Canis lupus familiaris: one gene and its partner. The protein of the gene in region 1 binds, or shares a complex with, the protein of each later gene. Links are inferred from orthologs where the notes say so. Each region holds a gene or a part of one and is shown in the gene's direction. Other genes may lie near its edges.

The links.
Region 2: LIMS1 (region 1) and PARVA share a complex: the UniProt entries of both Homo sapiens proteins name them as parts of the heterotrimeric IPP (ILK-PINCH-PARVIN) complex. The link is inferred for Canis lupus familiaris from reciprocal best matches to the Homo sapiens genes LIMS1 and PARVA.

Annotation. Positions count from the first base shown.
Region 1 is NC_049231.1:36,267,895-36,282,847, reverse strand, and holds the start of LIMS1 (LIM and senescent cell antigen-like-containing domain protein 1), read left to right. Parts: upstream 1-3,339; 5' UTR 3,340-3,408; coding exon 3,409-3,590; intron 3,591-8,117; coding exon 8,118-8,277; intron 8,278-14,953. UniProt on the Homo sapiens protein: Within the IPP (ILK-PINCH-PARVIN) complex, binds to F-actin, promoting F-actin bundling, a process required to generate force for actin cytoskeleton reorganization and subsequent dynamic cell adhesion events such as cell spreading and migration.
Region 2 is NC_049242.1:35,980,110-35,995,804, forward strand, and holds the start of PARVA (alpha-parvin), read left to right. Parts: upstream 1-6,659; 5' UTR 6,660-6,687; coding exon 6,688-6,823; intron 6,824-15,695. UniProt on the Homo sapiens protein: Plays a role in sarcomere organization and in smooth muscle cell contraction. Required for normal development of the embryonic cardiovascular system, and for normal septation of the heart outflow tract.

The DNA of each region.
Region 1 (14,953 bases):
GCTCTGTCCTGCCCCATCTTTTCTTTCTTTAGAGCCTCAATTTCCCCTCTCCCTCTCAGCTGCCATTAGGATATTTCTTGGTAATAAAAGGAAAGGAAAGGAAAGGAGAGGAGAGGAGAGGAGAGGGGAGGGGAGGGGAGGGGAGGGGAGGGGAGGGGAGGGGAGGGGAGGGGAGGGGAGGGGAGGAAAGAAGGAAAGAATGAGATCTGGCAAAACTGTAAACAAAGAGACAGCCACAAATCAGCCTTAACATCCATATAGTCACACTGATTGATTAAATAGTTTAAAAATATTAACATCGTGTATGATACCTTCAATCAAAAACTCTTTTTAAAGATTTTATTTATTCTTGAGAGACAGAGGCAGAGAGAGAGAGAGAGAGAGAGAGAGAGAGAGGTGCGGAGACACAAGCAAGCTTCATGCAGGGACCCCATGTGGGACTGGATCTCAGGTCTCCAGGATCACACCCTGAGCTGAGGGTGATGCTAAACCAGTGAGCCACCCGGGCTGCCCCAAAACTGACTCTTATTGAGGTAACTTCTATTGAAGTCTATTTGGACTTACTATGTGCCAAGCACACACTCAGTAACATTGTCCCAGCTGGAAGTAGAGGAAAGCAGAAACAATGGAGGGTCTCCTACCTGCTTCACCTTAACATAGCATTTCTTAAATAGCATAATCCCCTGGAAACTGTTTGAACTGAAAGAAAGGGAAGTCTCCAGGACCTCCTTCAGCATTCTGCCCTTTGCTTGGTATCTCCAAGTAGTGTCACATCAGTGTGGGCTGAGTATTTGGATCTAATGATGTTTCTGGCAGGAGAATGAACATGATTTGCAATCACTGTAACTAGTATGGATTAAAAACTATAAGAATAGGGGCACCTGGGGAGCTCAGTAGTTGAGCCTCTGGCTTCGGCTCCAGTTGTAATCCTGAGGTCCTGGGATTGAGTCACACAGCAGGCCCCTGGAGAGCCTGCTTCTCCCTCTGCCTGTGTCACTGCCTCTGTATGTTTCTCATGAATAAATACATAAATCTTTAAAAAAAAAAAACTGTAAGAATATCATAAGGAAAACAAATAGAGCCTGATAGCTTTTTTCCTCAGGCATGAATGAATGTATTACGAACACATCATCCAACTCCTGCTGTGTGTCAACTGCTAGGATCAAAAAATGCATCAGTTACTGGAAACACCCATACAATTTTATTTAAAAAAAATTTATGGGGGAGCCTGAGTGGCTCCGTTGATTGAGTGTCTGACCCTTGTTTTCAGCTCAGGTGATGATCTCATGGGTCATGAGATAGGGCCCCAATCTGGGCTCCATGCTCAGCAGGGTGTCTGCTTGAAGATTCTCTCCCCCAGCCCTTCCCTCCATGTGCATGCTCATGTACCCTCTCTCTCTTGCTCGCTCTCTCTAAAATAAATAAATCTTCAAAAAACCTTTTCATATAAAAAAACTATTCTCCTATATTATCCTATATTTTATCCAAAATTTTTTTAAATTTTTGCTTGTATGTATTTTGGTTTTGTGTGTGTGTGTGTGTGTGTGTGGTTTTTTTAAATTAAAGTATAGTTGATACTATTATATTAGTTTCAGGTGTACAACAGTGATTTGACAGCTTTATAACCTATGGCATGCTCACTACAAACGTGGCTACCATTTGTCACCATACAATGCTATTATAATACCATTGTCTATATCCCTTGTGCTGTGCCTTTATCCCTGTGACTTATCCCCAAAATGGAAGCCTGTATCTCCCACTTCCCTTCACCCATTTTACCCATTCCCCCCACACATTACACCCCTCCCCCATTGGCAGCCATCAGTTCTCTGTATTTATGGGTCTGTTTCTGCTTTTGTTTCTTTATTCATTGTTTTGTTTTGTTTTAGATTACACATGTAAATGAAATTATATATATAGTATTTGTCTTTTCCTGACTTATTTCACTTAGCATAATATCCTCTATGCCCATCCAGGTTGCTGTAAATGTCAAGATCTCATTCACCATTTCAACCAGGAGGTCACTTCTTTCCTATTTAAAAATGATGATTTTTCCTACTGCATTAGCCACAGGCTTGGGGCTTGGGGAGGATCCGTAGCCCACAGCCTTTTAATTTCTGACTTGTACTCTGAGATCTTTAGGGTTCAAAGAGGGAAGACTAGATCTCATTTTGGGCTTCTATCTCATTTGTACCTACTACTTAATCTTTTCTAGTTAACTTATTTTGTTCTCCAGTGATTGTGTTTAACCATTTTCTCACATGGTAGTTGACAACATAGGCTCTAGGATGAAGCTCCCTAGATTTAAATCTTGACTCTACCACGTACTTACTGGGTTATTCAGCCTCCTTGAATCTCAGTTCCTCACCTGTAAATAATACCTACCTTATAAGGGATGCAATAATGAGCATAATGCATAGCATTATTATTTATTAGTTGTTACTTGGAAGTCCCAGCTGCATTTTGTCTGTTTGTTTGCTGTTGATTTCATGGCTCTCATCTCTAGTGTTTCTTTCTTTAGTGGTCCTTGGTACCTTAATTTTGGTTAGGAGGGCACCTTGGTGCTCAGAGGACTGTTCCTGGAGAAATGTTTTGAGCCCTTGTATTGCCCATGGCCTACATCATCACCCTCCTCTTCTGCAGTACTGCTGCAAGATGACAGCAATGTGGACTGACTATAGCAGGAATGCCAGCAGCATCTTTAACCATAATAAAGACCAGGATTAGCTGAGGGTTTCTAACTAGATGCCCAACTCTTTCCTATTTCCTCGTGTCCATTCATTGAACACATCATCCAGCTCTTGCTATGTGCCAACTGCTAGGATCAATAAGAGTCAAAAGTAGCTCCAAATTCTTAGGGACTCACAGATCCTTGGTGAAAGATAGCCATGGGCATAGCTGACAAGCATGTCCTGGGCATTAAGATGTCCCCCAGTGTGTGCCAGCTGCGTTAGCCTCAGTGGGGAGCTTGTTAGAAACAATATCTGAGGGTGTTTTACAAGAACCACAGTGTTCATGTGGATAATGCCTGGTGACAGATCCCCCAGGGCATGTGGATGTTTGTTTCTCTTGGACCCTGCCAACCAGTCCTCTATTTCTGAAGCAGTGTTTACAGACACAGTCTGCCGGGAAGGCTGCTCCAGCAAAGACTGTGTCACTGCTCTGGGGAATGTTTTCTAGAGCTTCCAGAAATGCCTCAAAACTCAGGACTGGCACAGCAAGTGACTGCTTTGCTGTTAGAGCTCTTAATATGAAGGGCCAGGAGCGACCCTGGCAAACGCAGGGCTGACGTGTGTGGGAACAGTGGGAGTGACCCTGGCAGGGAAGCAGGGGAGGCCTGGATATTGTTTCTCCGTCCCCTGCCCTGCTACTCTCTGCCCCGGGCTTGGAGCTCTCAGGCACCCTGGGATGGCGTTCCCGGGCAGGGTGCACCCTTGTGTTATCCCAGAGAATGAAGAAATCCCCCAGGCAGTCCTTAACAGTGTCCACCAGGCTAATGGCAATGAAGACGAGCGGGCTGTGTCCAAATTACAGCGCAGGCACAGTGACGTAAAGGTCTACAAGGAGTTTTGTGACTTTTATGCAAAATTGTAAGTGTCTCCTCTCCTGGAAGAGGAGCTCCTATCTTCCAGATCTAGTCTGCTTGGGCTTTGAGTTCAGTAGCCATTGATAGTTTTATTTCCTCGACTCTGAGCAGGGGCATTCCAGAGTGATGGAGGGGAGGGAGGCCTATTCCAGCAGGCGGGGAGATACACCAGATGAGATGCAGAAGTAAAGGAAAATGCTGCCTTTAAAGTAATAGTAGTAATGTCTTTGTGTTCAGTAGGTTCCTCATAATAGTACATTTTCATTATGTAGTCCAAGGGGGAGGCTTAGAGTTGCTGCTGGCAGGGTTTATAATAGAAAGATTGTATACTCTTAAACTTCCCACAGATGACAAGTTGGTTGAGGGAAACAGTAAAACTGAATTACAGACTGTTGATAAAGATACACATTTTTGTTAGGTTTAACAGCAATTTGAGGTAGGCAAACTGGATTTCTTAATATTGTCTTAAGGGGATTGAATCAATAAATAAGAATGTTGTGTATTTAGCAAATATAGGTGTGTGTGTGTGTGTGTGTGTGTGTGTATATATATATGCCATATATATGCCATTAACTCTAAAAAGTCTAATTCATGTTATTAAATGAGTTTTAGCAAACAATTTTAAAAAGTAGTGCAAAGTAGTAGTTAGACTCATGGAAGATTGTTGATCTTCCGCAAAGTCATAAGCTTAGAATTAACTGCAAATCCTCAATTTGTCAATCATGAGTTAAGGGGAATTTAACTGACCTGATTCTCTATTTCCATTAATCTATTATGTGTGGTATTATAACAGATGTCCTCTGTTTTCACGACTTATAAAGAGTTCTGTTTAAATGTAATGGGGAAAAAAAAAAAAAATAAATGTAATTGGGCAATTATAATTATACTGTAACCAAAATGCTCTGTGGACTCTTAAGATGCTTTTTGGATTTACACATTTTTTTCGTTTTGATGCCAGCAAATTTGTTTTACATACTTTTAACAGTGAGACACTTGAAAAAAAGCCCAGTGATACCAAGTTTTCTGTGTATGGTTCATCTGTAGAAGTGGATTGGGTAAATCAGTTATTACTGGCCAAATGTGAAGGTTCTGTACTAAAGGCTTCTACATATATATTTCCCAACATATATATTCTTTATCATCAATACTTCTTAGCAAAAATCCTTTTTTGAAAAATTAGCCGACTAATTATAACTAGCCAGATGACAGTTGTAACTATCATTCATGACTTCTAAAATGTAACTTTTATATATAAAAACAGTTATAAACAAATGCATAGGTCACTGTAGATTCATCATCAGTCATAACAGACTACGTTTATGGTAGAGATGTTGGTAGCAGGGGAGGCTTGCACGTGGGGATGAAGGGGAACTCGACTCCTTTTGCCTCAGTTTCACTGTAAACTTAAAACTGCTCAAAAAAACAGTCAATTGAAAGAAATATATAGTGCCAGAGGGTCAAAGACAAGAAAGGAAAGTTAATGTAAACAGTTCAGTAGGTTAGTGAGATTATTAGGGGTTCTTTCCTGAAAGTTTCCTCTAATGTAGTTTCTTTTCTTATCCTGCTTGTTATTAAAAGGAATACTTCTTCAAAAATACATATTATCTCCAAAGCTAGTTTATTTTTCCTGTGTATGAGAAACTGTCTACCTATTTTCTCACTATTTCAGTATTTGAATTAGAATATAAACAGTGTTTAGTACAATGAGTAGGAAACAGGTGACAAATGCTTTGATATTAGGACTGCTTTCCACTCTTAAGGGCAGCCCAGGTGGCTCAGCGGTTTAGTGCCGCCTTTGGCCCAAGGCGTGATCCTGGAGACCTGGAATCGAGTTCCGCATCGGGTTCCCTACGTGGAGCCTGGTTCTTCCTCTGCCTGTGTCTCTGCCTCTCTGTGTCTCTCATGAATGAATGAATGAATGAATGAATGAATAAATAAATAAATAAATAATAATAAAAAGGTATTGAGGTCTGCAGAGAGCTTTTGCTTATCAATATTTACTGAAAATACAAACTAAGAACAAAATTAAATATGTATTCATTTGAGATACATAAACTCATTATGCATTTATTCATAAGTGTTAATTTTTATGAAAAATAACTCTTTCCAAAATGAAAAAAGTTTGGTGGGAAAAGTGGCATTGAATTACATATTTTCAAATCTTCATTAATGACAGTCTAAGACAGTTTCTCAGTTCTGTTTCTGCATTTATCTTAGTGTTATATGTTGCCTTAGATATATATACAAAGAAAATAGGCCTCCCACAGATGCAGGTGGAAAAAGGACCTTTTGAACCCCTAAATGGGTCACAGTGACCCCTATACTTTGAGAACTACTTGATCTAGATAATGGAGCAGGATATTCCAGAATGTCCTTCTCTTCCTGCTTTTTGAGAGTTCTGTGAAAATTATAAGGATCTGGTGAATCTTTTGAGAGGATTCAAAATTAATAATGATGCCTTTATATTTGGGTAGCATCTTCTGGCTTTCAGAGTTATATACTTTTTAAAAATTTTTTCCTCGAAACGATATTAGGGCAGGTGTTGGTTTACCATACTTCATCCAGGGACACCTGCAGATTTTGATTAGGAGAAAGGGGAAGTGCAGACCCTTCCAAGAGCTTTGCTAAAACTGCTACAATTCATCTGGCTTATGCCAAAGCCACATGAAGAAGGGAATGTGACGCATTTCTCTCCATAACCCACAGTAATTTTAAAATGACAAAGTAGAAAATTTATTTTAGTATGAGACTTAGGCCAGATTTGCCAAGCACTGAGGCTGCCTCTCTTCCTTTTTTTTTTTCTTTCTTTTTTTTTTTTTTTTTTGTGATGTTTTAATTCTATATTTAAACCTATGAAGTAAAGTTGAGGTGTGAGTTGATATGTGGTTATGAATGTGGTACTTCTACATGGGGCTCATTATGGAAAGGCTACAGAATAGCAATACTATTCTTTGAAACATTTGGGACAAGAAGGCAAAGGTATCTTCCACTGGGGTGGGATGGAGGTGAGACAAGGTATGTGTGAGCCCTTCTGCTAAGGAAACAGGAAAACTGAGGGGACAAGGCAGTTAATCTGTCTGTAAGATGAAAACTCCTCACCTGCCTGATAGGGTAGCTGTGAAGATTCTAGAGAATGTTGGCCATAACTTTTTGAGGTGGATTGACTCAATATCTGGGTGGTACAGGCTGCACCAGGCAACTAGACACACAGGTAGAGCTTGTACTCTCATTGGGCATCTGAAAATAAACTTGCCAATTGTGAAGAACAAACTGGCCAACAATGACTCTGGTTAGGTGACCTTCCCCACTTCAAAGCCTTTTAGAATGAAGCAGTTCTTTATGTGAAACTCAGGGCTTGTTAGAACGAAATAATTATCTGAGTATATACTTTTCTTCTTCCAGACTCCACAAAGGTTAGTTAGGATGCGGGTCCATTTATCAAGTGCCTCTTGTATGTTTCACGGTGCAGTGGATTGACAGCAAGCGAGAGAGACCAGGTCACTGGGGTCATCGGTGGTAATGTGACTGCCTGATGTGCAAAGTGTGATGGTGTCCCTATCACGTCCTCTTGAGTGTTCAAAATTGATACCGTAATCCGGTTGTGATTTTATGAACAGGGACTCTGGATTCTGGTCCTATGTCTTCCCCTAACTACTGAGCTTCACCATGTCACAACATTGGGCTGGTCACTCCAATTCCCTGAACCTCCTGTGTCATGTCCATAAAAGGATCTTCACAATGTATCCTGTGACTTTAAGAAACAACTTACAATGTTAGCGTTCAATGCTTGTTTTACCAATGAGATTACAGGATTAAGGCAGTCTGGTTTAAGAACTACTTGCGGGCAGCCCAGGTGGCTCAGTGGTTTAGCGCCGCCTTCAGCCCAGGGTGTGATCCTGGAGACTTGGGATCAAGTCTGCATCGGGCTCCATGCATGGAGCCTGCTTCTCCCTCTGCCTGTGTCTCTGCCCCTCTCTCTCCCTGTGTTTTTCATGAATGAATGAATGAATGAATGAATCTATCTTTAAAAAAAAAAAAAAAGAACTACTTGCAACAGTTGCTTTCAGCAGGATCTAACCAGAGAGATAACCTGTGTCAGGATTCAGTGTTCAATTGACATGCAGTTTAGATTCTGTCCTCAGAAGGGAGAGATAGTGGCCTGGAGATGGTGACCTGTGGATATTTTAATTAGGCTGCTTATTTAAGCTGTAACCTCAGGCTCCTTCCTGGAGGGCAAAGCTTGGCTTCTGTCTCTATCCCTAGTTCCTCACAGGAAGTAGGTACTCACAGTATATTTAGCAAGAAGAATGTCAGAAAGGCTAAAGAAAAAGAATCCAAGCAGGAGGCTCTTTGAACACCCACAAAGAGGTGGGAGCAGTTTGAGTTCTTAAGACACAAGAAATTGGGCTTTACGGCTGCAATATGATTTTTGTGATCAGATAGAATGTTCTCCTCAGTTCTTCATGTCATTTGGTCTGAAGTCTAAGAAAAGGTAGACAGTCTGTGACTCCCTGTCCTTTGTGTGTTACAGCAACATGGCCAATGCTCTGGCCAACGCCACCTGTGAACGCTGCAAGGGGGGCTTTGCACCCGCCGAGAAGATAGTAAACAGTAACGGGGAGCTGTACCACGAGCAGTGCTTCGTGTGTGCTCAGTGCTTCCAGCAGTTTCCAGAGGGACTCTTCTATGAGGTGAGTCAGCCCAGACAGAAGCACAGGGCACTGTTTCCTCTGCCCTTCCCCTTGTTTTGAGGCATTCTTCTTTGCTTTAAATTTTGGTGTGAAAATTGTATTGAAGTATATGGTATTTGAGCGATGGCTCATGTGCAGAGTGCCCTGACAGACGCCCCCCATGTATATTGTTCAGTCCGCCTCCCTCTTTCAGAACCCTAAGTACCTTGTGATTCCACCTTTCAGACCTGCACACATCAGCAGAGTCCTTTTATAAACATTAGCCACAGGTTTTTTGGCTTTTCCACTCAGGTCCCCACTTGTATGCCCCCTACACATGCCTTACTAATAATGCCTGCCTCTGTCTTTCCCCAACTCAGAGCACCATGAAATATCTTCTCTAAAGCAGGGCATCCATTACCTACCTACCTTTCATGCAACGAGTAGGAGCTTCCATGCATTTATTTGCTAAGGAGGATTTTGTTTGGTTATTTTGGAGGGATAGTCTGTCCATATTAAGCTATACTATGTATCTTCTTTTCCAAAATCTTTTCCCTTTTTTTAAGATTTTATATTTTTAAGTAATCTCCATACCCAATGTAGGGCTCAAACTCACAACCCTGAGATCAAGAGTCACATGCTTCCCCAACTGAGACAACCAGGTACCCCTCAAATTCTTGTTCTTGATTCTCCTGTGTTACCTCATGGTGTCTGTACTTCCTTTGTATTTCTTCTTACCATCACTGAAACCCCTTCTCACAGAATATGTCTGTTTAGGGGGCTAGTCTATGGAGGCGTGTGTGTGTGTGTGTGTGTGTGTGTGTGTGTGCCCAGTTAGATAGTATACTTTTACCAGCTTATTCCTTACATACTTATATATGTGTGTCTCTCTACAATAATATAGATACATAGAATTATGGTATAGCCAGAAATGGCTGTGCTTTGATTTCTTCTTTGCCTAGCACATTTTTTAATTTCCCTCTTTTAAAAGCCATTCCTGAGGAAGGAAAGGTAATTTTTAACAGTCATTAGTAAGTCAATTGTTTGCCACTCAGACCACATTTTCCCATAGAAACAATGCCTCCTGAGAGACAGGTTTCCAGCCCAGCCTGCAGAAAAGCTATTAAGCCCATCATATGCTCATAACATACAAAACTGCCCTGTATATAATAACATAACAGCTTTAAGAGATTTGATTAGGGAGCACTATTTTATTCACCAGAACATATTTTTGAGCTCCTGCTGTATCCTAGAAGCTGCATTCCCCACTATAAAAACCCTAGCAAGAGGAACAGGAATCCTTGTTCTCTTTGCTTTCATTTCTTCCTCTTTCCCTGGGCAGGGAGATCTCTTTTTCTGTCAAAGGTCATGGCATTGAGCTGGGAATGGCAAGTGACAGTCAAGAGAGGCACAGTAGGAGGGAAGGCAGGGAGGCGGCTGGAGCAGGGGCTACACCTCTTGGCATCAAGGTGACAGGTCCCCCTGAAGACTGTGGGAGAGGCTGCCAGTGGTAATGAGGAGAGTGACAGATTCCTGAAGAAGAAAAGGAAATCTCTAGGGGTCTGGGAAGCAGGGAGAGAAAGGGAGCAAGGGCAAGAAGGGTGGTCCTCAGTCGGGAGTAAAAGGACAAGACCTGCTTCTGTGTCTTGATGGAACACTCAGGTTCTCAGGTCAGCACAGCAGGGGCGTGCCAGGAGGTGACTTAAGAGAGTCAGGAGTCTGCCTCCTGAGGAAATGAGCCTTCATACTCTGTCAATCCCAACCTTACCCCTACGTTTTTCCCCCACTCTAGGCCCACAGAGGTTGAAAAGTCCCTGTAACACAGCAGATCTGTGACACAAATGGGATTAGAACTTAGTTTGGTTACTAATGCCCAATATGGTATTCTTTCCCTTGAATATTCTTTTCAAATCTAAGATTTTTTTTTTTTATTTTATTTATTTATTCATGAGAGACACACACAGAGCGAGAGATTGAGGCAAAGACATAGGCAGAGGGAGGAGCAGGCTCAATGTGAGGAGCCTGATGCAGGACTCCGTCCTCGATCTCAGGATCAGGACCTGAGCTGAAGGCGGCGCTCAATCACTGAGCCATCCAGGTGTCCCAAATTTAAGATATTTTTATTAAAGTGAGTAGTTATGGCAGAAGCCTTAGGAGAGAGTCAGGGGAGCAAAAAAAGGACCCAAAAGAGAAAGACAGAGTTTGTGTTTCCAAACATTAATTCCATATTATATGGTCGGTTTGCCGAGCACTTTGGAATTCATAATGTTGTCAAGCATGATCACCCCCTAAGGTCCTGGTTCTTCATCTGCAGCCTGTCAGTTGCCAGGCCACTTGTGCTTAGTCAGAGGGAAAGCTCTGTGAGAGCTTTTGGCAGAACAGAATAAAGCATGACTCACACTTGTCCTCCTGCCCACCTCTTACTCCTCTTCACTTATGGACTATAAATATGCTCCCTGGATCTGTCTGATATTATTCCAGAATGTTACGAATACTTAGAACTTGTCTATTAATGGGCTGTTGCCCAGGTTAAGGTCCTTGGGATCCTGAGGAAGATTGCTATTTTAGCTATGCTTATCATCAAAACCCCATTTCCAAGGCCAGAAATTTGTAAACCTGCACGTGGAAAATCCAGCCTTTCCTTTAGTTGAATGATATTAGAGAGAAAGCTATCCAAGGCTTCCAAGAAATAGTCTGTATTTTCAGTTATTGAAAAGGAAGCCCCAAAATTTACCTGGCTTGCTTTTCCATGTGAGACACACGTACATACATTAGTCTTGCTGTATCTAATAATAGCAAATGTGGGGTGGCTGGGTGGCCCAGTCAGTTAAATGACCAACTCTTGATTTTGACTCAGGTTATGATCTCAGCATCATAAGATCAGGCTCATGTCAAGCTCCACGCTCAGGAGTCTGCTTCCTCTGCTCCTCCCCTGACTCCGCTCTCACTCTGTCTCTGAATAAATAAAATCCTTTAAAAAACTAATAGTAAATGTGTCCTTTCCACTCTACAGCTTTGATATTGCTTTTGTCTTATTATTAAAACATCATCTTTCCCTTATTTCCATAGTCCCTACTCTTTTCTCCATAGGATTAGTTCTGAAGACTTCTACGTGGGTTCTCTGCACTTACTTCCCCTTGAAAATGGGATTCACTTTTACTGTGGAATGTCTGATACTTTGGATCAGATGGCCAGGATGCTCCTCCCTATGGCCCTGAAGGCGAATCTAGCACTACACTAGTTTCCTACCCACTCACAAAGATGTTTGTCTGGAGGTAAGCTGACTGAGCTCAGCTATTTCTGGCTCATCTGCAGCTCCTCTTAAGCATGAGTTAGCAGCATCCAGGTTTATTACCTGCATTGGCTCCTTAACTCAAGATGAACTTCAGTCCCACCAGATCATGTGGTTCAGCTAGTGAACTTAAAGTTTGCCATCAAGACTGTAATCCATCACCACCAAAGAATAAAAAGTTGGTCTCATGATTCTTGGGCTCCATAGCTTCTGTCATCAATGACTGCTTTACTCAGGGTGTTTTTATTACAAGACCACATCAGTCATGTTCTCAGGACACTCCCATCTGTCTCACTTCGGTTTATCTTCTTTAAGTACACACAACATTTTGTTTATATCTTTAGTTTGGAGAGCATTGTACATGTTTCTTTATATGTTTATCTTCTTTCCCTCTAACTTTAAATACCTTGGTGTCGGGACTGTCCTCATTAATTTGGTATTTCTATCGTTTGTTATACAGTATTTGATGACTACTAGGTGCTTAATAAATACAATCCCGTGTATACGGTACTTGGATAGTAAAGATGGCAAGATAAAATGCTAATATACCCACTAGGAGCCAAGGCAGACATTTTCTAACATACACTTCAAAATCTTGGTACACTTTACTCATTTACCCGTCGTTCATCCCATGAACATTGTCCAGGCTTTGTTGTCCAGAGTGGTGGATGAAAGAAATGAATTCTTAAATAGAAACAAAGGAGATTTCAGTTTTGAGTAGAAGCCTGAGCCATGATGTATTTTCAGTACCATATGTGGACCGCTGACTTGATATGTTAGTTCAGGCCAGTGTGATAGTATTGAATAAACAAACTTTTTGTTTAAAACCTACAGAAAAGGGATACCTGGGTGGCTCAGCCATTGAGCATCTGCCTTGGCCCAGGGCGTGATCCTAGAGTCCTGGGATTGAGTCCCACATCAGGCTCCCTGCATGGAGCCTGCTTCTCCCTCTGCCTGTGTCTCTGCCCCTCTCTCTCTCTCTGTCTCTGTCTCTGTCTCTGTGTGTGTGTGTGTTTCTCATGAATAAATAAATAAAAATCTTTTTTAAAAAATAAAACCTACAGAAAAGTTGAAAGAATAATACGAGTATCATGTGCCCTTGTGCATCTCACACACACATCCTCCACACCCATCTCCTGCCAAATTATTTGAAAGTAGTTTATAGACACATAACACTAAATGCAATTACTTTTAATTTTTGTGTGTTTTGCAGAGGAGGTATAATGGAAGAGTCATAGTGAAGAATGATCTTTGGGAGGGTACTGACCTTACCAAAATCTTCTGTTATTGAGTAACATGTTATATCTAGTTGGGATTTTAATATAATCACTTCTGATACTTAGAGTACTATTTCTTATATTAAAAGCTCCCTTCCTCCCAGTTTGTTTAAATGACTCAAATAACTTTAAACTCTATCTCCAAGAGCATATATTAAATGGAAAAGAAAGAGCACAATTCTCTCTTTGTATATGGACTGGACTTAATGACTCACTTCTGACGGGGCTATAGAAAGGGTAACATAGAGGCACCTGGGTGGCTCAGTCAGCTGAGTGTCTGCCTTCAGCTCAGGTCGTGATCTCAGGGTCTTGGGATCAAACCCCACGTTAGGCTCCCTGCTCAGATGGTGTCTGCTTCTCCCTCTGCCTCTCCCCCTGGTTTGTGCTCTCTTTCTCTCTCTCTCTCTCTCTCTCTCTCTCTTTCTCTCTCTCTCTCAAATAAATAAAATCTTTAAAAAAAAAAAATAGAGGAGGTATAAAGTAGTAACTTTGCAGTGGCAAAACCTAGCAGATACCGTCCTAACCAAGTGATCAAGGTTCACATGACCATTAAGAAATCCTGTTGAGATTATGTACTCCCCAATATGATGCAAGAAATAGAGCACATTAAACCTCTGTGGTATTATCCCTCCAGATCTGCGACTTCAGCCTAATCAGGAGACAAACCCATAATGAGGATCACTCTATAAAACAGCTGACCAGTACCCTTTAAAAATGTCAAGGTCATGTAAGACAGTGCAAGACTGAGGAACTCTCACAGATTGGAGATGACCAAAGAACTTCAGTCTGTCAGACATTCATGAGATTTTCCACAAGAGTTGTTTATTCATCCTTTATTCACCATTTAACAATGTTTATAATATTCATTAGGCAGTTACAATGTGTCAGGCAGCCCATGTTACATTCTAGGAGTAGAATGATGAGCAAGCTGGCTAGAGTCTTAAGGAACTTACCCTACAGTGGGTTAAACTGGACTGCCCAAGATTGAATCATTAAAAGATATGAAAACTTCACAGTATTATAGACTGTTTGGTAATAGGGAGAAGTTAAATCTACCTGAGCACAGACCCCCCCCCCCACCCGCCCCAGAATCTCCTGAAAACTAGAATAGGATGATGTTTATAATGTTTCAGCAGAGTGCCTACTACTTGGTAAAAGAGCTTAATAAATGGAAGATAGTTGTATTTAGAAAACAATCATGATGTGATTTTACAGGTTGTCAGCATGTACATCTGCAACAGCTTCTAGCCTAGTGTCTTGCCTTTAGAGGGTCCCCTGACTGAGAGAAGCTGCCAGTGAAGCCGGCATCCTAGGATTTCTCAGGAAACATGTATCCATAATTAGTCTATTTCAGGACCTCAGCATTTTTCTCAGATTTGTGCAGTGGGTGCAGAGGGTGAATTGTCTTTATCGGTACATGGTCAAAAAAGGAACCTAGTAATTCAGGGTTCCACACGCAATAGAATTACCTCTTCATCTGTGTTCAGATGGCCAATTCTCAAGTTCACAGTGTGTATTGGCAGAGAAGCCAGGAGACCTTTCAATCATGATTTTTAAGTTCTTAATAGAAACCCACAAGATAATAAATAAATAAATAAATAAATAAATAAATAAATAAATAAATCCCACAAGATAATATAAGACCTCTAGGTTATATTCTCTATTAGTCTGCCTAAGAGAGGTGATGGATACAGAAGAAGCCAGCACAGATTTTAGCGTCTGACAGCTGGGGAATGAATCCCAGCAATGCTGGCTTTGCAAGTTATTTAACATTTTTGAATTTCAGTTTTCTCTAACAAGATAATTACAAGGTAGCATGTACCGTACCTAGTAAGTTAGCTCACTCCCTAGTACCACTTCCCGGTGAGTACTGCTCAAATAAAGTAACGCTTGCACACACTAAACCAGGCTTCCTCAAGCAGCAGCACTGTTGACATTTTTTTTTTTTTTTAATTTATTTATGATAGTCCCACAGAGAGAGAGAGAGAGGCGGAGACACAGGCAGAGGGAGAAGCAGGCTCCATGCACCGGGAGCCTGATGTGGGACTCGATCCTGGGTCTCCAGGATCGCACCCTGGGCCAAAGGCAGGCACTAAACCACTGCGCCACCCAGGGATCCCCCACTGTT
Region 2 (15,695 bases), on another chromosome or scaffold:
ATTTCCTAACTGAAATGTTTTCACTTCTGTGGATTTTAATTTGATTTCTACATTTTTAAGTTCTATAAGACATTATGGTTATTTTACTTAGTTAATATCCTTTTGCTTTTTTTTTTAAAAAAGATTTTATTTATTTGACAGAGAAAGAGAGAGAGCACAAGCAGGGGGAGCAGCAGAGGGAGAAGCAGGCTCTCTGCCGAGCAGAGAGCTGGATGTGGGGCTCAATGTCAGGACCCTGGGATCATGACCTGAGCCAACAGGCACATTCTTAAGCAACTGAGCCACCAAGGCACCCCTAGATAATATCCTTTTGCATTTACCCTTTTGTTTGTGCTTTCTTCCTTCCTGTGTCACCAAGCTTCCATCTGGAATGATTTTCTTTACGTCATATGCTGTAGTTCTGTTTGGGTCTGCTATTAACAATTTTTCTCTGTTGTGCTTTTTACTTTTACTATTTTTTCTTTGTCTACCAAAGGGTAATCTTTTAGAGTCCCAAACTAAAGCAAGTGGGGGAGATTCCTGGGGGGCCCCTGGTTTGGTGGCCCCTGATCATTTGTCAACTTATCCTTGTGAGATTGGCAATTGTCCAGTTCAACCTCCCAGCTTCCCAGCTCCCTCTCCTGAAATTGGGGGAAAGAAGTCCCGGGTGATGGGCTCACTTCTCTGGGGTCCCTTCTTCTCCGAGATTGTGGCCCTGTAAGTTTTGGCAGCTTTCCAGTGCTCTCAAGATTTATTTTACTCTCAGCGTCCAGCTTTTCCAGCTGTTCTCAGTGGGGGGCTTGGCCTGTAGTCTGATGACATGAGAAACTGAATACCCCCTTCCCATCTATGTGTTAGGAATCCTGGAAGCTGTCGCATAACACTTTTGGTCACAACCCATTGATCAAAGTTTATCATAGGACTGCAATATAGTCTTTATTCCAAGGAACCATATCCCAGCTGAAAATTGTGGCTTCTGTAGATATTTGGGAGAACAGATTCTAAGAGCTATAGTATTAATCTCTCAGTTATCAGCTGTTGATCTGAAGCAAGTTATTTAAACTCTTCGAGTTTTAAGCAACTTACCTATAAAATGGAGGTAATGATACCATTTATGAGTCTCCAATGAAATGTAATAATCAACACTTTATTGAGCTAAGACTTGTTATCTGCTAGGCAGATAACAGCAGAGTAGTTTACACTCTTTTGATCCTCCCAACAACTTTATGAGGCTAGTGTTCATTTGTTCGCATTATGATGAGAACCTGAGACATAGAAGTTAAATCACTTGCACAAGATTGCATAGATGCTTGACTGCAGAATGGTGATTCGAACCCCAAACTTTCACCACTGCCTGCTCCTGCCTTGTGAATTACAACCCCCCCCCCCCCCCCCCGCCGCCCCACCGCCTTTCCTTGTTGGAATCGCTGAGGGAAGATGAAAAGACCAGGGTGGGAACAATGCTGGGTGGCTGAGGGCAGTACCTGTTCAACTAGAAAAATGATCTCCTAAGGGAAGGTCTGGGGACAGATGTGACCTAGTCTGAGACCAGTGGATTTTTGAGTGATATGGACCATGGAAATAAAAGGGACCCTAAAGGGCATGAACTGTCATGGCTTCATTTTATATAAAAGAACCACATACACATAGGAAACTGTTGAAAGAATATATTAAGTTCATGTGCCACGAATTTCCAAAGTGAATAACCAGTACCCAGATCAAGAAAAAGAACACTACCAGTCCTGTAGCCTCCCCTCATGCCTTCTCACCCACCTTGCCACATTCTTGTCACTAGCCTCCCTGCTAAGGCTCACTATTATCCTGATTTCTAACACCAGAGATTAGTTTTGCCTGTTTTTGAACTTTATATGACCAGAATCATAGAGTATATGCTATTTTCGTGTCTGATTTCTTTTCACTCAATATTGTGAGTCACATCTCTGTTGTTCCTTGTGGTTGCAAATTGTTCATTCTCCACGCTGTATAATGCTCCATTTTGTGTGACTATCACAATTTATTTATGGGCTCAACTCTTAATAAGCATTCAAACAGTGCTGCTACGAACTTTCTAGAAGGTGTATGGGAGGGCACAGATGTCCTCATTCCTCTTGGGTATCACCTAGATTGAAATTGTTGATCATCGGGTTATGTGTGACGTTCAGCTTTAAGACTGCCTTCACCTCCCTGATGATGGAAATGGAAGGACTGGAAGGGGCAACCATTCATCCAGGGACACCCAGCCACTGAGCCAGGACTGGAACCAGGTTCGCACTCTCTCAGGGCGGTATGTCTAGGTCTAGATTTCATGGAGAGACTGACCTAGAGATTCAGTAGAGTCTCACAGCAAAGCACATTTCATTTGTGAGCTGTCCTTATCATTAACCCTTGGATAAGAGGAGTCCAATGACCAAGCATGAGAAGGGCGGCTCAGCAGTAGGGCCATAATTACAGGTACTGATTTACAGTGGAGAGAACTGGTGCAGGTTCTTCTTTGCAGCTTTTAAAAGAACAGCATGAGGTATGTGCCCTTGATTAAGCAGGATTTAGATTCAATCTATTTCAGTGCCAGAGCCTATATGTAAGATGCTTTCTCAGGTACTAACTCATTTAATCTTCTGAGCAAAAACTAGATCATATCCATAAGGACTATCAACACATAATATCAAAAGAGAGTGAACTCTGTAAGCAAACTGGAGCAATTTGGAACAGCACTTTCCAAATGCTCTATGGTGAAGAACTGATCCATCCCAGACCAATATTTTTGGAAAATACCATAAGAAAAGAATTACCAGAAAAATAAAATGAAAAGATATTCTAAATATAAGCTCCCAATTTTTATTGTCATAGTAAACAAATATAAGATTGCATTGTTGAATTCCTATAAAAGTTTCTAAACACTCTTAATTTCTGTATTTATATCGCTGAGGACCAATAACAGTTTGCAGATCAAGATGGGTTTTCAGGCTACACTTGGAGGGGTACTGATTTATAATCCACTGCTCATTCCCTAATGGGAATCTCTCTTTCAAGAAAGATTGATAATTATCTTAAAGGCAGGAAGGTTTGAAAACAAGACATCTGCAAAACGTTGAGGCCCTAGGAACCATTCATACCCATACAGGTTACTGTTTAATAGGACTTCATCATTTCACTGTCTGTATCAACAAAGCTATTCCAAAAATATCTTTCACAGAAAGGTAAGAGTTACAGATAACTTTATTCTGGGCACCTGGGTGGCTCAGTTGGTTAAACGTCTGCCTTTGGCTTAGGTCATGATCTCAGGGTCCTGGGATGGAGCCCCATATCGCCTCCCTGCTCAGTGGGGAGCCTGCTTCTCCCTCTACCTCCCTAGCCCTGCTCGTGCTCAATCATACACCCTCTCTCTCTCTCTCAAATAAGTAAATAAAATCTTAAAAAAAAAAAACAAATAACTTTATTATGCCTTTCAAGAACTTCTTCCAAAACCTTACCGAAATAAACGTAAGACCCTTAAACTTTTCAACAACATTAAAAAGATTATTTACTCACCAGGACGCTTTAAAAGATTTGCCTTTTTACTTACCAATCCTAAACTAGTATGATCCTTAGCCAAAATTAAACAAGCACCCCCTCATTGAAAGACCTACCTTAAATCAGATTCCAAAACCTTATAAATATCCCCTTCTGCCGTCCCCCAGTCCAAGTTGCTACTCAGACTCTGCCAAGGCAGAGCTCTCCCTACCATGGTGTACAATAAATTGAAGCTTTGTCTTCTCCACAGCTTATTTTACCGGTATTTTCTGGGAGCCAGCTTTCAACAACCAAGACTTTGTTCCTCTTTTTATTTTAGTCTTGCTTAGGTGCTTTCAAACTTTAGTATGCATAAACATCACCAAAGAGGACTGTATATGCAAAAGCACGCACACGCAAAATTTAAGAGACCTCCACGTGTAATTGGAATAGTGCCATATTTAGGACCTATGCCCTGATTACAGATACCAGCAACTGGTGGAGAAAAGAGGATGTGGCAGCTGGAAGTGGCTCTAGGTTTCCAAATATCAATGTGTAGATCAGACCCATTAAATCACCTGATGTAATCCCTGTTAAAAAAAAAAAAACAACAAAAAAACCTATTCCTTGGTTTCGCCTCGGATCTGTTATATTCAGAATTTCTGGGGATGGGGCCTGTGGATGTTTATCACCAATTCCCTACGGGGTTGTTGCACAATCAGGCTAGAGAACCACTATTTCATTTTGTAGATGAAGAAACGGAGACCCAGATAAGTGAACAGAGTTGCCCAAGATCACATAGCTATTGAGCTGATTCCCTGACAGGAGCGCCCAGGGCTGGAGATCAGATGTTGGAGATATTTGTATGTATCCAACATCCCGAAAGAGAATGATTAGTGATATAAAACAAAATCTGTTTTGGCTTCTCCACATCTCCTTAAGATGTATCAGGGTGGGAGGGGGTCATAAACTTTCCTTGCTCCTGGGTAAAATTTTAGCAGTCATCATGACTTCTCTGCTCTCTATTGGGTAAGAGGCATCGACTAAAGTATAATTTTCCAGAAAAAGAAAAAAAAGTAGAATCGTGACTTACATGAAGATAACACGAACACATTTTCCACTGGGAATCTATTGGAGGTCTTGTTAAATTTTTGTTCTCAGGAATTATTGCTTGTCCGTTTGCTGATTAGCTCAAGTGAAGGCGGATGTGTTACTTAGAGCTTTAGGAACACGTCCTAGGAAGGAAGCACGGCCTGGCCCTCTGGGGAACTGCAGTGGGTACTGGGAAGAGATTCAAGGTCCAGGCAGCTACTCCCCTATGGTTTCTCATTAGTCAGACCACCTGGCTTCTTGACCTCACTTCCTAGCTCCCTTGGTTTGCTTCTCTGCTCATCTCCTTGCACGCAGCTGAAAATGAACACTCCAGTAGTGGATCTCCAGGATCACCACCAAGTGCCTGACTCTGACAACAGTCTCTTGCTTTGCTCAGATTCTTGACTGAGCTTATCTGATTGGCTGCTCTCCAGTCAAACATTAGCTCCCTTTGGGTCAGGTGGTCACACAGGGTCCACAGGCTGTAGTTACTTGGAGGAAACACAGTTGCCAAGGGGCTGCAGTGAGGGGGAGAGACACAGTCAGGAGAGCCCAAAATTGGGGGGGAGGGAGCAAACCCAATAAATGTGCCTTTTAATCATTTTCAGCAAGAGTCCTTGAAACCTGGGGCTTGTAGCACTCCTCTGTTAGCCCAAATGAGTCTGGTTGCTATTCTGTTGCTTTCATTTAGGCAGGATAAATTTGGGGTGCGGGGCTGTTTCGCAGGAGCCCATGGTCGTACCTTCCCATTCATGTTTCCACCAACATTTGTGTGATCCTCCTTTGTACACGCCATTGAGATTCTACAAACGGGTGTTTCGTAAGAATAAGAAGCCTCAGCCCTGATGTCACGACCTTCAAACCTCTCCCTCCGGGATGGCGGTGAAGAGGTTGCCCGCAGGAACATGGATGTGCCGAAACACATTTCGGTTCACTCGCTTTCGTGGACACGAGACACAGCCTGATAACTGTACAGGTAGAAATGCAGGGGAGGAGTGAGGGTGTCACCCAATAGCTGGGTGAAGGCACTGGGAGATGGAGTAGCAGCAGGGGCTTCGGTTCGGCGGTCACTGAACCCCGATTTGTGCCAGGATCTGTGTTGGGTGCAGAGCCCGCGGAAAATGTGGCCTCCAGGCTCCAGCGCTCCTGGGCTGGAGGGGGTCCCCTCCCCCACTGCTTCACTCACACACACACACACACACACACACACATGCCTCAAGCCCTGCAAGGGGCAGGTCTGGGGTGCCCTCCCCGTTGCACACACACACACACACACGCACACGCACACCAGGCCTCAGGCCCTGCAAGGGGCAGGTCTGGGGTGCCCTCCCCGTTGCACACACACACACACACACACACACGCACATGCACACCAGGCCTCAGGCCCTGCAAGGGGCAGGTCTGGGGTGCCCTCCCCGTTGCACACACACACACACACGCACACGTACACCAGGCCTCAGGCCCTGCAAGGGGCAGGTCTGGGGTGCCCTCCCTGTTACACACACACATGCACACGCACACCAGGCCTCAGGCCCTGCAAGGGGCAGGTCTGGGGTGCCCTCCCCGTTGCACACACACACACGCACATGCACACCAGGCCTCAGGCCCTGCAAGGAGCAGGTCTGGGGTGCCCTCCCCGTTGCACACACACACGCACATGCACACCAGGCCTCAGGCCCTGCAAGGAGCAGGTCTGGGGTGCCCTCCCCGTTGCACACACACACACACACACACACGCACAGGCACACCAGGCCTCAGGCCCTGCAAGGGGCAGGTCTGGGGTGCCCTCCCCGTTGCGCGCACACACACACACACACACACACACACACACACACGCACACCAGGCCTCAGGCCCTGCGGCGGCCCGTCTGGGTGCCCTCCCCGCTCCGGGCGCCCCGGGGCGCGGGCGCAGGCCCCAGGGGCGAGGGCCGAGGGGCGAGGGCCGAGGGCCGGCGCGCAGCCCCTCGCAGGGCAGGGCGGAGGCGGCGCGAGGGAGGGAGCGAGGGCCGGGACCGGGAGCGCGGGCCGCCTGGATGCCTGGGATAATTCCGCTTCCGTTCGGGAAGCCGCAGCCCCGGCCCCGCCGCGCCCGCCCAGCGCCCGCTCCGCGTCCCGGCCCGCGCCGCCATGGCCACGTCCCCGCAGAAGTCGCCCTCGGCCCCCAAGTCCCCCACCCCCAAGTCGCCCCCGTCCCGGAAGAAAGATGACTCCTTCTTGGGGAAGCTCGGAGGGACGCTGGCGCGGAGGAAGAAGGCCAAGGAGGGTGAGCGCGGCCGGGGCTGGGGGCGGGGGCGGGGGCGCGGGGCGCGCGGCGGGGGCGGGGGCGCGGCCTGGGTCGGGGTCCGGGGCCGGGGCCGGGAGCGCCCCGCGGGTCGCAGCCGCCGCCTTCCCGCTCGGGCTGGGGGGGCCCGCGGGGTCGGGGGCGCGAGGGGGCGGGAGGGGGCGGGAGGGGGCGGCCGCGGCCCCCAGGCGGAGGCGCCCCCCACCCCCACCCCCGCCCCGGGCGCTCCCCAGGCCCCTGCGAAACTCTCCGGGGCCCCGCACCGTCGCTCGTTGCCGTCGCAGGCCTCGGGGTGAGGGCGGCTCGCGTGGGGCGCCCCGAGAGCCCCAGAAGCGGAGGTGGCCTCTGGCTCTCGCCCCCCCGCCCCGGGGTGCAGTAGGGACGTGCGCCGAATGAATGAGCGGCTCCCCGAAGCGCTCGGGCCTCCGGTAGGGGCACCCCTGCACCCCAGGGGAAGAGCTGGGTTAGGGGCATCATCCCATGCAGCAGCATCGCGGTGGGACCCTTCTGTGCACTCAGGAGCTGAGGGCTCTTGTAAAAAAAAAAAAAAAGAAAAAAAAAGCATCGTCTTTCCCCCACCAACCAGGGTGAAATGAAGCGACCCCCCCCCCCCCCTCCAATGTGCATGTAAGATATTTTGTCTCATTGGCAGATGTCACATCCCGGTGTTTGGTTTGAAAACCGAAGTGACGGTTCAGGAGAAGCTCTAGCCATAGATGCGTAGATAGAATTTTTCCTAGACTGCTTTGGTGGTTTGGGAATAGCCGTTTTTGAAGGCTGGGGTGGCCGGGATGTAAAGCAAGTTCCCCGTTCCTGAGTTATCCTAGAGCATCAACGAGGACTTCCGTGCTGAGAAATTGTCGGGCTTCATACAAAGAGCTACACGTCTATTTTCTGTGTTGGAGGGAGAAGCAGCAGAACGCATCCCTCGAAATGTTTTTCCTGATTTGGCTATCTTGGTAAACCGCTGCCTGCGAAGCGTACAATTGGGAGCAAATCATGAAGTCGTGGCTTAGAAAGGCCCCTTTTGCCCTCCTTTTGCCTACTGTGTTCCTCCTGTGGGCTCTCCAGCTAAGCATAAACAACTCAGAATTTCTGAAGCTCCGTGACCTACCGCGTGTGCTCAGCCCACCTCTGCGACTCTTTAGAAAAGTTTGTTGTAAAATTGCACAGTTTGTGGGGCCAGGAGAATGAGACCGATGGTGGCCTTTCACGTTTCCCCGAGTGGTTTAGCCTGTTTCCCAAAGTCTTCCCTTCACCAGTACAAGCATCTTCTGTTCCAGGAGGTGGTCGGTCCTCATAGGCATGATTTTATGGCCTGCTGGCTTCCTATCCCTTCCTTTGCATTTGGGAGCCCTGCAGGAAACAGAAGGTCTACTCAGTTGGGATTTTGAAAATACTATAGAGAAGGGACTATTTTCAGAGGTGAGGGCAGGGGTAGGGGAAGCCAGAAAGGATAATAAGGAACCTAGCAACAGACATGTGCAAGCTGTTACCACTCCTAGACCTGGGGTGTAGGGACAGAGGAGCCCACCAGAACCCACAGAGAGCTGGAACTATGGAAGGGGGCCTGCCTGGCAGGAAGTGTAGCTGTAGAGGGACGCAGCGACTGTCAGTAATGTGCAGATGGAGCAGGGAGCCATTGGCACAGGAGATACTCTGCGTCTTCTCTCTTCTTCCCCTTGAATCCCTTGCAGGTGCTTCTGATTGGCTGGGCCCAGTGGAAAGTCACCGGGCAAGGTATCTGGACACTGCAGTGTGTAGGGGTCAGCTCCCTCAGGGCAAGGAGCAGAGCAGAGATCATAATGGGGAGTGGGGTGGGGGGGTGTGCAAATAACCAGCAGGCCCTTTCACAGTGAGCTGCCCAGAAGCCCACATAGTTTGCTGTGCTCTAGTCCTGCCCACCCAGCTTAGAACAGGGCTGTCCCCTCCTTTGTTCTAGCACAGACACCAGGTTCTAGTAATGCAGCCAAGGCTGCTTTTCCTTATTTTGTCAGCTGTATCACACTGTTCTCTCTCGTTGAGTTGGCTACCAATTTACTCAAAAGCATTTTTGTGTTGCTCCTGAACCATCCCCTTCCCTATCTCAGATTTGCGCAATTGGGGATTTAAAACCAGGTGCTAATGTTTATCTTTGCTATACTTAACTGTTAAGTCCTGATTCTGTTATTCAGCCTATTAACTAATCCAGGAGATATAAATGGTGAGTTGGCTGCTTCTGAAGAAGCCCACCACCCCCCAGCCCCGGCTGCTTGCCGCTGCAGGTGGTAGTTCTGCGAGCCCAAAGAAGGCAGCTGGGTTGGTCTGAAATGACCTGCTCTTGGTGAGCGTGTGCTGGATCTCGGTGATCAGTGCTTGACCTTTCCCAGGCCCTGCTTCAGTAACAGTAACCATCACTTCAGTAACAGTAAGGCTAGATCTTACTCTGGATCTTGTGTAAACTCACAGCTCTGTGCTTTGCAGAAACTGCTTTCTTCTATCCCCCCCCCCCCGCCCCCCATGTTCTAGAACGTGATTCTTCAAGGTCACTGATGTTAGCCTATCCACATATTATCCCAGTGCTTGAGCACTGAATTTTCCTGGCTCCACAGACTGCCATTCACTCACTTGACAACTGTTGTGTCCCACGGTAGGACACAAAGATTGGAAACATGTAATACATGTTAGAATAGTTAGTCAATAATTTCATATAAAAATAGGTCTTCCTACAAATACCTACTACGTACATCATAGAATGACTATAAAGTCTCATAAGACTATGTCAAAAGTAGTCATCACTCCTGTGTTTTCAATAAGAAGAAGTAACCTTAGAGAAAATGGAGGTTAAAAGTGTGGTCTTTGGGACCAGACACCTTTGGGTTTGTTTCCCGTCCAGCCCCTTATTTATTGCTGTGACTTAGGACAGCGTCCTTATCTCTCGAAGTCTGTTTCTTCATCTATAAAATGGGAATAAAGTATGTAATATGCATAGCATGATATGAATAATGAATGGTAGCTCTTAAAATTGATAGCTCAATTTGACATAGTCTTTAAAATTTGAAATAGTCTTTTTGTTTCGGACTGCAGAACATTTTACAGGTTCTGCAGACAGCCTGGTAGCTCATGACTGTGTGAAGCCCTGGTAACCCTGCTTTGGTCCCTTTGGAAATTAGAGATCTTTCCTTGCACGTCAGATACTCCTGTTTCCAAAATGTCATATTTCTGCATTTAAAAAAAATTATCCATTTGAGAGAGAGTGCATGCGTGCGTGTGCATGAGCAGGCAGGGGGGTGCAGAGGGAGAGACCCTCGAGCAGACTCCCACTGACTGTGGAGCCACAGGTGGGCTCAATTCCACAGCGCTGAGATCATGACCTGAGCCCAAATCTGGAGTCAGACGCTTAACCGACTGAGCCACCTGGGCACCCCATACTTCAGCATTTTAGAATATATAGTCCCATTTTCATGATTTGTCATTGAAGTGGCTTTTGTTCTTCTCTGGATCTTCTCTTTGGCAGTTCCAGCCCTCCTTCATGCTATACAAAGCCCTCTTGTGTAGGTTCTTAGAATAGTATTTTCAGAGTCCTTTGCCAAAGGGCCACCTTTCATCTTTCTTTCTCCAGATCTATCCTCAAGACTTGCTCTTTTCAGGGACACCATCTATTTTTTTTTTTAAAAGATTTTATTTATTTATTCACGAGACAGAGAAAGAGAGAGAGGGAGAGACACAGGCAGAGGGAGAAGCAGGCTCCATGGAGGGAGCCAGATATGGGACCCAATCCCGGGACTCCAGGATCACGCCCTGAGCCGAAGGCAGGTGCTCAACCACTGAGCCATCCAGGCGTCCCCCAGGGACATCATCTTGAATTGTATTTGCCAGCTGGAGTTGCCCTCAACTGAGTGAGCAGGAATGATTATTCCTATCACTTATCCATTTATTATCCCTTAGAGTTCTATTTGTCCAGTGCTTGAAGTGTCCAAAAAGGGCTTTAAGAATTTTATAATAATACTTGGACTTACCACTTTGGTCCTCATTGGCCTTCCAGTGTAACTGGGGAAAAATCCCCAAACTCTGCAACATATGTCTGGTTCCAGGAGTGGGGGGGAGCCCCCAGCACTGCTGAGCAATCCTCTTCTTCCCGAATCATTTTCCAGAGTGCTGCCTCAAACCCTCACTACTCAAGCTCCCCCCTACACCTTGAGATAGAAAACTGAGTACCAGGTATGAACTTGTTCAATTTCCCTTTCTTTGCCCAGAGCTACACTTTCTTTCATGCTCCTGCATGCTCCTGGCCTGCTCTAGTCCCTTCCAAAGAGGTCCCTTGTCCCCTTGTTTGTCAGGCCCTCCATTTCTGGTCCCTCCCAGACCTGGCATGGCCAGATGCCCTTGGTCTCTTTCATGCTGCTCTACCCCCTAACATTCTATAAATATGCTCAAGTCTTTCCCATTTTTTTTAAAGATTTTATTTATTTATTCACGAGAGACACAGAGAGACAGAGACACAGGCAGAGGGAGAACAGGCTTCATGCACAGAGCGTAATGTGGGACTCGATCCTGGGTCTCCAGGATCACGCCTTGGGCTGAAGGCAGCGCTAAACCCCTGAGCCACCCGGGCTACCCAAGTCTTTCCCATTTGAAGAAGATCTCCTGATACTGGTTTTTTTCTTAAGCTACTCAACCTCCGGTCTTGAAAGAGTTGCCGTAACAGCTTTCCCTTGCTTATCTTCTAGTCACTTCCTGACCCACTATCCTCATTCTTTCAGTAACCATTTACTGAACTCTGAAAAGACTAGTCTAATTTAAACAAGATAAATTGGTAGGTTATGTGTGTTGTATTAGAGAAGTGATAGGTGCTTGAGAGCAAAATAAAGCAGGGAAAGGGAACAGAGTGGTGAGGGTTGAGAGATGGTTGGCAATGTAAAATGGAATGGCTAGAAAAGCCTCTCCTGAGAAGGATATTTCTGATAAGGACCTGAGGGAGGTAGGGAGAGAGCCATAAGTATATCTTGGAGAAGAGCACTGCAGACAGAGGGAATGGCACATGCAAAGGTCCTGAGGCAGGAGTGGACCTGCTGATATGTCAAGGGCCAGGAAGGAGGTCACTGTGATTGGAGGAGAGAGTGGATACAGTTGTGGAAGGTAGTGAGGTCTCAGGGATTAGACTGAGGGTAGGGGCGGGTTGCGCAGGGCGCTGAACACCATTGTATGACTGGGGCCTTTATTCAGAATGAGATGAACAGGTTTCAGGGGTTTGCGTAGAGGAATAACATGACTGCACTTCTGTTCCAGCAGGATCACTCTGGTGTGGTGCCAAGTGACTGAGGGGACAGAGGTGGAAGCAGGGAGATGAGGTCGGGGGGCAGTGGGGACAGTGACCTGAGCCGAAGGCAGACTCTCAACTGCTGAGCCACCCAGGTGTCCCTCAAATCCACATCTCAAATCCAGACCTTTCACCTATAGTCCAGACACATCTGTCCACCATCTCCCAGGTGTATCACTAGCTCCTCCAGTTCCACATGCCCTCGAGGGCATTGCTACCTGGGCGCTTGCCCCAATCTCCTCTTCTTCCACCATCCCATCAGTTGTCTAAGGCCATGGTCTTCCTCTATCCTGGCAACCTCTTCTTAAAGGGCAAATAGTAAACATTCGAGACTTTTCTAGCCCCCGTGCCTGTCCTCAATTCTGCCCTTAAGATCATGGACAGTAAGTGATTGAACCTGTGTGGCTGTGTTCCAGTAAAATTTGAGTCGTGGGCCTGGGAATTTGAATGTCATGTAATTTTCATATGTCACAAAATATTCTTGTTCTTTCCCAGTCATTTAAAAATGTGAAAACAGGGACGTCCAGGTGTGCCCGGGTGGCTCAGTGGTTTAGCTCCTGCCTTCAGCTCAGGGCATGTTCCTGGAGTCCTGGGATCGAGTCCCACATCAGGCTCCCTGATGGAGCCTGCTTCTCCTTTTGCCTCTGTCTCTGCCTCTCTCTCTGTCTCTGTGTCTCTCATGAATAAATAAAATCTTTAAAAAAATTCCAGAACGTTTAAAATAAATAAAAAAAAATAAAATAAAAAAATGTGAAAACCATTCTTAGCAGGGGGCTGAACAGAAGTAGATGGCAGGCTGGCATAGCCCATGGGTGGTGGTTTGCCCACCCCTGCCGTATTCCGTCCCATGTGCAGCCCACTCTTCAGGAGGCCTGTGGATTTTGCCTTCCGTCCCCACCTCAGCTCAGGCCCCAGAACTGCTCTTTGTCATCTTCGAGATTCTTTCATTTCTTTTCTAATTTTACCATTTTTATTTTTCACCTGAAATGTTACAATATCCATCCCGCTAGTCTCCCTGTCTCTGGTCCTTTTTTTGTTCAATTCACCCTTCATGCTTTTGCCAATATACCATTTTTTGTTTGTTTTTTTGTTTGTTTGGTTTTTTAAACACAAAGATAATGCCCTCTCGGGGCAAACTTCTTAAGCATGGTACTTAAGACCTTCTCGGTTGCTCCCCTTCTGGTCTTGCCTCTGTTTCCCTTTCAAAAATCCTCCATTTTAGCCACACCAAAACACTGTATTCCCCAAATGCATCATGTTCTTTCATGTGTTTTAACCTGTATATGTGCTGTTTCATATTTCTGGAATGGAAAGACCTTCTCCCTTTCCCTATACAACAAACTCCTACTCAATCATTAAAACCCAGTTTGGATATCCCCTTCTGCTGGATGCCTTCCTTAGCTCCCCCAGGGAGTGAGGTACTTCCTTCTCTGTGATCCCCTGCCACCTTGCCCGTGGTTCTGTTGTAGCACTGGCCACGTTGCACCGTGACCATCTGTGGGTGTGCACATCACACACCATGGTGAGAGCCCCCTTCCTGTAGCCCTCCTGCCCAGCGTAATATTTAGTGCATAATGATACCGGAGTTTTCATGCAATGAATTTCCCCATATTTACCTTGGTGAAAATAATCCCCTGCTAACTGGTTGTGTAATCTTAGGCCTTTTCCTCTTTGGAAAAGGATTTCTCACATCAGCGGATTAGGCTACATAACCTCTGAGAGCCCTTGCAGCTCTGGTATTCTCTGATTTCTGAGCTCTCATTTCACCAGGCTTCTCTCAAATTCAGTTTTATTGTCTGTGTAGGGTGGTCTGGGAATGACATCATCACAAAGACCTCTTTCTTTCCTCCACTAATGAAGGCACCTCTGTGTCGGGAGGAGGAGATGGGAGCCAGGATAAGCGGGCCCCGGCCCAAGGACACCTCCATATTAGGAGTCGTTGTCTCATGGAATATCTCTATTTGGTTAACAAGCACTGTTCATAATTATGTTTTAACCATTACTACAGAAGAGATGAAATCCTCATGTAAACATGTGTAAGCATCTAAAATCCATTGACCATTTACTGTCATGGAAAAAAGAACGCGTTTGGGGAAAGCTCTATACAATTTTAGTAATTAAAAAAAACGTTTAAAAATAAAATACTTTAAAAGGGGGTATAAACCTTCTGTTAAGTTTTCAGCATGCTCTGCAGCCTGAAATCAGACGAACTTCTCCTTCAAAGTGGAAGGTGAAGGTGTTGTCTGATTCCTGGAGCCCCCGGGACAAGGAGGCCTCATCTGGCTTAGGTCCCCTCATCCCTTCCATTCTTTTCCCCGTGGTCTCTGGGAGGGCGGGAGCTGTGTCTGGCCTGCTCACATTGGCACTGATGTGCCTCCCCGGCACCAGGTTCTAAACGGATACCCTGCAAAATGGTGAACTAGCTGCCTGAATCAGCAGTGGGCATCTGATTCCTCCTGAGGGTGTCCCCAGGTTCCTTCTAACCCTCTCTAACCTTGGATGACCATTTTGGTCCCCTGACTCCATCCAGGCCTCAACTTCTGGCTGTGTGTGCACGTGTGTGCATGTGTGTGATGAACCTGCCTCCTCCCGCCGGGAATCTCTTTACCCTTTGTGGAAGGACATTATCACTTGGCCCTGCTCTTCAATGCTAAGCACGTGCAGGCCCTGGAGACCAGAAGTTTGGGTCCTAGTACCTATGGGCAGTGATGGTGCAGTGGAGGCAGGGAGCCTGCCGGTCAAGGGTGGCAGACCGGTCTGAGTGTAGAGGCTGGTATTCTCTGTTTTCATCCCGAAAAGCTTGCTCTGTGGAGATGGCACTGCACATTTTTGTGACAGTGCTTGAATGATGCAGGACTGAGGTGAAACAGCCTCTGGGCAGAGTCTGGGGGAGACCACAGAAAGGTCTAGATCAAAATTCTGCAAGAGGTTCAGAATTCCTGTAATTCCCCAAAGCTTGCTGGTTCTCCTCTCTGACCTGCCTGTCCTTTCCTGAGCTTCTCAGCTTCCATCCCTCACTAGGTGCCAGGGAAATCTGAAAACCAGCCAGAGCAGGGCTTCCATCATTACTCCTGTAGCAAAGGTGCTCCATCCCTGCAATGCTCCCCACTCGGACCCACCAGGGAAAAGGACCTACTCGAAGGAGAGGCTGGCCCGATGCACAGTCTGTGAATTGTAGCTGCTTTACCTTTGCTTTGGCCTGGGACCTGCATTTGCACGGAGTTCTGATCGCTGGAGGACTTGCCCCAAATCTGGTTCCACTAGCATTTACTAAGTGATAATTCTATTTGCTGTGAACACACCAGCCTGCCAAAGCCTTAGAAAAACCCCCTCTGTGGCTGGAGTCCTTCTGTTCCCTTCAAACCAGCCTGAGGGAGAAGTTAGGCCATGGGTGGAAGAAGCGGTGAACTTAATCAGTTGAAACAGAAGTAGTCTTTACTACCGTGTACTCTCTTGGGGGAAAGAAAAGTGAACTGAAATGCTTAGCATCTAATTTTTTTTAAAGTGTTTTTTTTTTTTTTTTTTTTTTTTTTCCCATTGTGAAACCAACCAATG